2 linked regions of the Caenorhabditis elegans genome follow. The protein of the gene in region 1 purifies or fractionates together with the protein of each later gene. This does not show direct contact. Each region holds a gene or a part of one and is shown on either strand. Other genes may lie near its edges. The genes, in order: twk-37 and deps-1.

The links.
Region 2: the proteins of twk-37 (region 1) and deps-1 fractionate together in Caenorhabditis elegans (co-fractionation; one large-scale study listed by BioGRID). This does not show direct contact.

What each region holds. Positions count from the first base shown.
Region 1 is NC_003279.8:6,268,663-6,273,346, reverse strand, and holds twk-37 (Potassium channel domain-containing protein), read left to right. Parts: upstream 1-1,813; 5' UTR 1,814-1,836; coding exon 1,837-1,865; intron 1,866-1,911; coding exon 1,912-1,971; intron 1,972-2,291; coding exon 2,292-2,476; intron 2,477-2,524; coding exon 2,525-2,619; intron 2,620-2,674; coding exon 2,675-2,761; intron 2,762-2,839; coding exon 2,840-2,969; intron 2,970-3,084; coding exon 3,085-3,250; intron 3,251-3,332; coding exon 3,333-3,591; intron 3,592-3,648; coding exon 3,649-3,786; 3' UTR 3,787-3,927; downstream 3,928-4,684. Other genes in the region: C10G11.8 (AAA+ ATPase domain-containing protein), read left to right, coding at 166-1,068, 1,110-1,334; oac-9 (Nose resistant-to-fluoxetine protein N-terminal domain-containing protein), read left to right, coding at 4,314-4,479, 4,532-4,684.
Region 2 is NC_003279.8:504,647-509,790, forward strand, and holds deps-1 (P-granule-associated protein deps-1), read left to right. Parts: upstream 1-1,826; 5' UTR 1,827-1,830; coding exon 1,831-1,941; intron 1,942-1,992; coding exon 1,993-2,099; intron 2,100-2,155; coding exon 2,156-2,370; intron 2,371-2,418; coding exon 2,419-2,579; intron 2,580-2,630; coding exon 2,631-2,762; intron 2,763-2,807; coding exon 2,808-3,059; intron 3,060-3,108; coding exon 3,109-3,249; intron 3,250-3,297; coding exon 3,298-3,402; intron 3,403-3,451; coding exon 3,452-3,685; intron 3,686-3,735; coding exon 3,736-3,845; intron 3,846-3,891; coding exon 3,892-4,111; intron 4,112-4,158; coding exon 4,159-4,230; 3' UTR 4,231-4,325; downstream 4,326-5,144. Other genes in the region: Y65B4BL.4 (Dolichyl-phosphate-mannose--protein mannosyltransferase), read right to left, coding at 860-959, 1,014-1,125, 1,174-1,403, 1,447-1,566; Y65B4BL.7 (uncharacterized protein), read right to left, coding at 4,326-4,568, 4,616-4,777, 5,102-5,144. UniProt on the Caenorhabditis elegans protein: Component of P-granules which is required for P-granule formation and integrity in adult germ cells. Promotes the accumulation of glh-1 mRNA and localization of pgl-1 to P-granules. Involved in RNA-mediated gene silencing (RNAi) in the germline.

The sequences.
Region 1 (4,684 bases):
TGTAGTAAATGTAGTTTGCAATCTATGACGTCATCATTACACGAACTTCAAATCGTTGTAGGGTTGGAGTAGTAGGATAGACGTAGAGAATTTTGTTTTGTTTATGTCAGTTGCGTAGGGATCCTATGACTGCAGTTAAATGGTTAACAGTTGTTTTCATTACAGAAAGAGTTCATCACTCGTCAAACAAGCCGTCATGGTCGCCCTCTTGCTGTCCAAAAACGTCGTGAACAGCAATTAGTTCAAAGTCTCCGAGGAACTCCAACCACATTGGCTCGTGTCCACGAGCTTTTCGATGATGAGAAGCATGCCGTTGTGGTCGTTGAAGGTTCGAGACGTGAATGGTACGTACCAATTCTCTCGATCGTCGACAAGGACTTGCTTCGTCTGAATGCCCTCGTCATGGTGAAGGCTGGTGGAATGTTCAAAACAGTTCCAAGTGCAATCGTTGGAGTTTTGGATGACAAGATTGACAGCAATGCGATGGGACATAAAGTTGAGAAGACACCAAAAGAGACATTCGATGACATTGGAGGATGTGAGAGTCAAATTCAAGAGCTGAAAGAGTCTGTGGAACTTCCTCTTACTCATCCAGAGTACTATGAAGAAATGGGAATCACTGCTCCGAAAGGAGTTATTCTTTACGGTGAACCTGGAACTGGAAAGACGCTTTTGGCGAAAGCAGTTGCAAACTCAACATCTGCAACATTCATCCGTGCAACTGGATCCGATCTTGTTCAGAAACAAAGTGGGGAAGGTGCTCGTCTTGTTCGTCAAATCTTCCAAATGGCAAAGGAACAGGCTCCATCGATTGTATTCATTGATGAAATTGATGCAGTTGGTACGAAAAGATTTGATACTTCTTCACGTGGAGAACAAGAAGTTCAACGAACTCTTCTTGAGCTCTTAAATCAATTGGACGGGTTTGAAAGCCGTGGAGATGTCAAAATTATCATGGCAACGAACAGAATCGACTCGCTGGATCCCGCTCTTATCCGTCCTGGACGAATTGATAGAAAGATTGAGTTACCAAAACCAGATGAGAAGACTAGACAAAAGATTTTCACGGTTAGTCAATTCAACATTTCTTAAATAATTTTTATTTTTAGATCCACACCTCTGGAATGACGATTCAGAAAGCTGTCACCTATGAGAATGTATTGGGAAAGGAGAAGAGCATTAGTGGAGCTGAAATCAAGGCGGTTTGCACGGAAGCTGGTATGCTGGCTCTTCGTGCTCAACGAAAATGTGTCGGAACGGATGACTTTGAGAAGGCTGTCAAATCGGTTATGCTGTCGAAGAAGGGCGGAGCACCAGAAGGATTCTTCTCTTGACAATCGGAAATTCAATAAAGTACAAACGAGTTTACCCTAATGAACCTTTCTTCTCTTACAATGCCAGTGCAGATGTTTTTATGAACATCTGTAGTTAATTTCTTTGGTCTTTCTATGACCATAGACTGTTTGTTTTCGTAGTTTCTTTCCCTTCCAGAGCCTCAATTTGAAGAATTATGTTAACTTGATCCGAGGCGTTTTGAATACCGATCTCGAGTATAAATATTTTATTGTTTCAATGTGTTACTGTTTAACACAAGATGAGATTTGTCGTATACACTCAAATAGATACAAAAATAAATATCCAAATTTGTTTAAAAAATTTCAAACTCATTGAGCTCGCCAAGTTTCTTGAAAAAATTGTTTACGTACAGTTTTAAAAATTATAAAATTATTAAATACCACCATAACCAAGAAACGTGATATTTTCTGAGATGGCCAAAACTATTAAAAATCGATTTTTTAAAAGTCAGTTCTAATTTTTGGAGTCAATATCGTCCCAATGGTAGCATCAAATAGAAGACAATCGAGGTTTGCAGAATCATTGTTTTCATCTAAAAAAAACTACATTTTTCAGTTCAGATTCAATACCTTCAAATCAAAAATCACACAGCTCTAACCATCACACTTCTAATAGGTGAGTATAACTACAATCCACAGAAGAAAATTAGTTTGTAACCCACATGCTCGACATTTCGCTCCGTGCGATTGAAAGCTGGGAAATCGCGAAAATCTGCGACGATCTACGATAGCATGCGAAGAAATGCGCGGAAAATTCGAAACTAGGGGTAACCCGCAAAGATGTGCGACAATGTGCGAGAAAAAGCTGAAGCAAAATGTCGAGTTTCTGTATTATCTACACCAGGAAAATATAAAGACGACAGAATAGCTGTCAAATCTTCTCAAACAATACCCACTGCTTCACCACTGTCAATCCAAACTGCAATAGTCTTTCAGCGATGGAATGCAAACTCACACGGATCGACTTATTAATAAATTTATAAAGAGGCAAATGGAAAAATCTTCACCAGAAACTCAACATCTTGTCAGAAAGCAATCTATTTTAAAATTTGTTGAACGAAAGTCTAGAGCGGAAAGACCGAAGCCAACGAAATTACGAACAATTTTGAGAAAGATTCGAAGTGAGGATTTGGTTTATATTCTGCTTAAAGTAATGTTTCAAATTTCAGAATTTAATACAATAATTGCATTTGTGGTTCTTGTTGCATATATAATTGGTGGAGCTCTCTTGTTTTGGCAGATTGAATCGAGATCTGATATGAATGTTTGTAAAGCTTTTGTTTCTGTTGCAGATATATATTCATTGATAATATTTTCAGATTAATGAGTTCAAAAGAAATATTCGTCAGAAATCAATACACATCTACAATTCAATGAAAGGTAGCAAGTGTGGAAAATTGAAAAAGGTTTGTGAAAGTATTTCTGCATCTCTTTCAATTGAGCATACCCGGAAAACGCCTCGATACAATTTTCATCTATTTCAGGCAGATAATGAGTTGAACAACAATTGTATAAAAGAAATTTTTGACCTACTCTACGCTTCAAACCCTCCAAAGCATATAGAAGAGTTTCTGGATGGGCTGGCTTATGTAATCACTTGTATTACGACAATAGGTATGACTCGGGATTAACAAGTAAAATAGTATCAAAACTGATTTCGAACATTTTGAAAAATATTTTTAAAATTTTCTCCCGAGGTGTCGTCTAATCATTCTATTTTCTATTTCAGGGTACGGCGAACTTGTCTGTCACACAATTGCCGGTAAATTGGTTACTGTAGCTTATGGTATTATAGGAATTGCTCTAACACTCTACGTACTTCGCAACAATGGAAAAATAACGTTGAAAATATGCAATTTGACACTCAAAATTTTTGCAATTTGCGTTCGAAAATGGTAATTTAACATTTAAACATAAATAACCTCTTCTCAACTTTCCATATAAAATCTTTATTTGAGTTCATTATTTAGTTTTCAGTGGCAAAAAGTCGGCAAAGTATAAGATGACAGTACTGAAAGCTTTTATTCTTCTTGTCACATTTTGGGGCTTCGGAGCACTTGCAATTGCTGTCTATGAGGAGTTTGTATTCTATGATGCCTTGTACTTTTCTTTCAGTACATTTTCAACTATTGGATTTGGAGATTTTGTTCCGTCAGGTCATATCTCTGGAACTATTATTTGTGTATTACACTTTATCGATTTATCACTGATTTCAATGGTTTTAGTTCTCGTTCATGTAAGCTGTGAAGATTCCCTTGTAAGAAACCAAGTGTCTAAAGTTTACAAATTTCAGCATTCGATGGAAAACAGATTTATGAGAGTTTTGGAGCTCTTCGATGAACGGCATGCTACCGACACTTTAGAAACAAATATGATATCACCTGGTGCTTCTCAACGGAAACTTGCTGCAACGACTACAGCGAAGGAATGATTTCGATCCAGTGATCATAATTGATATCAGATTATTCTCAAAATTTAAAATATCTCTTTGCTTATTACAATTTTTATTGATATTCTTTTTGTGGTTTAATTCTTATTCTTTTTCGTCATTAAGAGAATGAAGAAATTACAAAAAGCTTCTTTTTTTGCACAATGAAAGGAAAAAAAAACTGCCCATTTAGAGATTTAATCCGGTAAAGGCTTGACAGAGGCGCCTCACACCCGCCTTTTTATTTGACCTCCCAGCGCCGTACCTATAACCTCATGTGCAATTTCTCGTTACGGAGTTAATTTTAGTAGCGCATTCGTGAATAACCTATTTGGTAATTGAATTTTTAATCTCTCAAACAACGGTGTTTGTGGCTAGTTAAAAAAAATTTATTGTTCTTTTCTTTCTGAAAATTATTTTCCAGGAATACGTGCAGCTCACGCAAATACCGTCATTTGTGAAAACGCAATCATTAATTATCAAACAATTTATTTTCGATTATCATTTGTGAAAGTTTTCCCATGAAAACAATGAATCTCGTCTATTTGATACTTGTCTCGTTTCTACCCTCATCAGCCTTCGTCAGCTGCTCATTTACCAAGTCTGGAAAACAAATTCTTCAACAAATTTTTGAAGGCGATAAAGACAATCACACCAAGTTCAACAAGTTTCAAGAACTTTTCAAAAATTTCGAAGGCAATTTCAGCTTTTTTTTAAATGAAAATGTCACTTTACGATATGTTTTCAGATGATAGTTTTTGTATCAATTCGCTCGGAAATATTGGCAAATCTGCATTGAAATTTCTGTCTGAATGCTCATCTAACACGTGCCTCGAGCCAAACTGGGCTGTCCGTCTTATTGATTCACTTCCAACAAAACCACCAGGTCTTTCACGTAAAG
Region 2 (5,144 bases), 5.8 Mb from region 1:
CTAATTCCTATTTGAATTACCGCCAATTGGATTTGTTCGATGGAGCGCGCTTGCACGTTTTTAAATTTATTTATTTTATTTATTGTTATTTTCCACCGATTTTCAATGTTTTCGGTGTATTTTTGCTTGAATTTTAGAGAAAAAGTTAAAATAAATGCAAATTTCCGATTAAAAAATCACTGAAAATGCGTAAAACTGAAAAATATGCTAGTTTCAGGTTTGTTGTCGTCGGAACTCATTATTTTACAGTTTTACGTATTTTTCACATTTTTAAACACTTTTTAGCAAACATTCTGCATTAATCTTGCTTTTTTACTTCTCTTTCCGATAAAAATACACAACTAATGAAGAAAATCAGTGACATAATAATAATAATAATAATAATAATAATAATAATAATTTATTACGCTCGCTGGGAGACGTGAAGGAATACAGAATACAAAAGTTATCATTGTTCGCTTGAACTAGAATTGGTGCAGTCGGGCAATCGTTTCCATTCCATTAAAATGTTGTCCTTGTCCTTGCGTTGTCCTTGCGTAGACTCCCCCATAGTGGGCGAGCGATTCCCGAGTGAAAATAATCACGGAATGAAAAAATAGAAGAAAAATAGAATAAATTAATAAAAAAAATAATGCAAGCGCGCTCCAACGAACGAGTTCAATTGGCGGTAATTCAAATAGGAATTAGGCAAAAACTTTTTCAGATTTTTTCAATTTTCAAAAAATCATATAAAATTTATAAATTTTTTTTGAAGTTTTTTAACGTGATATTTGGTCATTGTGGTACCATAGGCGTGTTTTAAAGCAATTTCCCCACAGGGTGTAGTCCACATTTAAAAATTAAAAATTAAAAATTCTACCTAACAAAATCGAAAATTTCAGATTCTCCTTGATTAAAAGCTTTATTATTGAGTAAAGAGTCCGCAGCGTCCACACGGAGAGCGGGTACAAGATGGAAATCTGAAAATATTTAGGATTTTCAAGGGAAAATATCGATTTTTTTTAGCAAAATACCACAGAAATTGCGGATGGAATGAGTAGAAGAGCCGGGTTGACTTTCCGGGGAAAGTTTCGACGTGTGATGCTCGTCTCGGAGAGCCTCATTCCCAAGAATCCGGTTGCGATGCTGAAGAAAATCGATGGAAAAAGTCTAAAATATCCCCTGAAACCCTACCTAAAAATCAGAAAATACGAGAAAATATTGATTAAATTCCGAGCCGGCACATAATTCGGGCGGATCAGCACTCCATTGAAGTTTCGAAACGTTTCGCCGTTCCACTGAAGTCCATCGAAGCCGGGAACGGATGGCGGCTCGAAATGCTCGTCGACACTCATTTGACTGGCCCTGTAGAGCCCGATGATGGCAATGGCGAGCATTCCCACTTCCACATGGAATATCAGGCTCTGAAAATTAAAATTTAGCTTTTAGACGGAAAAAATCGATTACTTTGACATGAACTTGATCGAAAAGCCAGCGATACGGGTATTTTCGGTGCAGGCGGCCTGATTCCGGACGTGCTCCTCGAGATATATTGGAATTTGTCGAGCGGATACTAATATCTGCCATTTTTTCGCTGAAAAATCAGAAAAAATAAGTTTTAAAACAGAATTTTAATGGAAAAATAAACGGAAAAATTCGAAACTTTTTTTTCCGCCATTGAACACCAATGTGCCTTTAAGGTACGGTAGCTCTTCGTGGTGAGACCACTGCGCCGCGCATCTGATTTCTCGTGGGAAATTTGTTTCGAATCCTACGTTTTTTACAGATTTTTCTTTTTTTTCGTTTCGCTCATCATTTTTTTGTTGCAAAAAATCCAATTTTCAGACAAAAATGTCAGAACGCCAATCCAAATATTTTGACTATCAAGGTATCGTCATTTCCTCCACTGGACAAGATAACCAAGATTCGGAGACGGACCTCGTTTATCTCATTCAAGCTCATGTACGTGAATTCCCTCCGTTTTCATATTTAAAATAATAAGCTCGTTTTCAGGGAAAAGCGGCCCCGAAGAACATCATGTACGGTGTCTCCAAGTGCGCATTTGTTCCAACAAACTTGGAGAGGAATTTCGATAATATCGAAGAGGCAAAAAATCTTGAGTCAGTATTTATTTGATTTGAGCCCATTTTTAATCTGTTAACACTTGAATTTTTAGACGTCGATCCAAAATCCCGCTAAAGTTCGGTGAAGTCATCCTATGGAACGAATCGGACTGTGATCACGATAAGAGGATAATCCTTCATATCAAACGAGAAAAACCAATTTATGAAGCGTCTTCCAGCAGAAATGGACTTATTTTGAAAGTCGGTGGCGTCATCCAGCCCACCTCAACGACCTCGTTCTGGACGCCATTATGCACCGTCACCATGCGTATGTTTCTTCTTGATTTTCGTCTCTCTAACCATATATTTATTTCAGCAGAGACAGAGGCGACCCGTGCGGAGCCAGACGTTTGGCTATACGCCTGGATTCGATTCGAAACTACCATGAAGAGTGGTCTAGATCCTTTCAATATGACTGCAACATTCGAATCGTTTGACAGTTGCGATCCATCCGACCAAGCACGCGTCTGTGAAGCGGTATTTGCTTTTTAAAAATTTTTTACGGGATTTTGAACAAATAACTTTCAGCCATGGAACGCAGGCTCTCCTGACTCTAAATTCGGTGTTTGGCGCCCGGATCCAAAGCCTGCTGATAGCGACGACGAAATTGATATCGAGCCGAGAGAAGGCTGGCACTTGCCAGAAGACAAATGGGCCGAGGTTAAGGTTGCTTTGTGGATTCTCGTTGACAATTTGATTTTGCAGGTCATCAAGATGCAGCTTGGCCTGTATGTCGGCGAACGCCTACTGATTTGCAAAGAACTCTCGCAGTTCGACTTTATTATCCCACTGCAGAAGCCATTTTCCCGAGGAACGGACAAGACTTTGATCTACCCAGCCGTCGGAGAATACTTTCATTTCAGTGCTATTTGGTCGATGCAGCACAACGGTTTTCTGATCTATGAGCTTCAGCCAGTTCCACTTCTCAGACAGCATGTAACCTCTGTCAACGGAAATGTAAGTTATAATATTGATTTTTTTGTCCAGAACATAATTTTTATTTCAGCTCCTTACCCGCGTCGTTCCTGCCAGTATCAGAGGTCTCTTCGTTGACAAGGAGGGCACTCTTGGATTGATTGATGACCCACACCATCTTCTTTCATTCTTCGAGTTTCATCCAGCTGGTTATGAATTCTTGAAGGCTATGGTAATCATGAGTGGGTCTTATTTTGAAACAAACGCTTTCAATTTTCAGGCCGAAGTTCGTGCTGTTCGAACTTCAGAAAACAAATCTGTCCGTTACCGCATTGTTCGTACATCGGGAATGTCCATTTTTGAAAACTGGCTTCGTGATACTCAGGTCTCTAAAGTTAAATTAAACTCGTCCTTTTCACCCCTGAATTTTTCAGTTCGTTGTTGGTCCAGTCAAAGGAATTCGAATCAATGAAGACACTGTCATTTGTGCCAAACATCCGAATGTCTACTTCAAAATCCCCAATAACTTGAAGGAAGGAATCCCCATTGGCGGAGGAGTTCAATTCGTTGGAAAGCGACAAGCTGGAGTCGACAGTGAAATTATGATCACCGAATGTTCTCCATGTCCAGCGTTCACTTGTAAAAATTACTCGGTCTCTGGTGATACGGTTAGTCTTCAATTATTTAATAGTTTTTATTCTATGAGGAAAATATTCAGCGCTTGTTCCAAGTGTACTTGAAGCCAAATTGCGATCATGAGCAGTTGGCGGAGAGTGATTCGATGGGATTTGTGGATTTCAGAGAGTTGGAGACTCCATGTAGAGGAAAGTGAGTGTGTCAGGATTTGTAAAAATAATTGTAACTGAATTTTAAGGTTCCTGGCATGGGTCCGTGAATCCATTACTGTCAATGATTGTCGCCGTGCTGCTACCATCATGGAAGTATGCTCGACAGCCATCTGTCCTCCGTTGATTGCAATGAGCGCGAATTCGAGCAGAGCAACATCGGCCAGAACTACGCCAGCTGGAAGTTCCATTGGATCCAGATCATCAATTCAATCAAGAGCATCTGCAGCTACTTCAGTGAGCTCAAACGTAAGTTTATTTTTAAGGTTGGAAGATGATAAAAACAAGTTTTTCAGCGATTCGTTGGCCCTTCAAGCCGCAGAACTCCATCTGGTACTCCACAAAGCTCAACATCTTCCAGGGTCTAATTAAATATATACGCATCCCGTTTTCCCCCGTATTTGTGTTTCAAATGTTCTGCTCATTTTTAATCTACCCGTTATCCAACCAAACATTTATTTATTTAAACTTCAAGTTCCACCACCATCCCATTCCGCACAACTTGTCTCTCGTAATTTTCTCGTGCTCTAATGAAGTTGTGGTAGGTTATTCTAGTGAATACACCCATGTTAAGCAGCGAATACATCCAGAAAAGTCCCAACAAGCCGGCAGCGAGATACTCCCCCCAAAATGATGGTTGATCGGTACATCCAAGATAGGGTAGCATCGCGATAGACGTGAGCAAGTTCGTTATGCACTTGAAAAACTGAAATTTCAGAAAAGATTAGGTGTATCAGAAGGTTAAAAACAAACAAATGACATATAGATGAACGAAGCCAGTGATGGAATCGGATTCCGAATACGAGAAGCCATTCCCGGAGATACTGTGATAAGAATCTGTGTGATCGAGAACACAATGAGCACACCCACCGGGAACATGAATTCCATGGAAACACGGAGGCAAAGGTCACAGTACTGCAAAAAATGCGAAATTTTGGCGATTTTTGCTCTAAAAAATGCACTGGCCGGGTCTCACCACGACAAATTTTTGTTGTCAGTTGAATGCCAATAGAGTGTGCGCCTTTAAGGAGTACTGTAGTTTCAAACTTTTGTTGCAATCGATTTTACAGTTTTCCCGAGAAACAAAAGTTTGAAACTACAGTACTCCTTAAAGGCGCACACACTCTTTCCGCATTCAACTTAACAAAAGGTTGTCGTGTCGAGACCCGGCCACTGCATTTTTGTAGCAAAAAAAATTTGAAATTTTCAAGTCTGGATAATAATATATAATATTTTTACCTCAACTATGGGAATTTGCATTTCCAAACTATCCAAACAATCG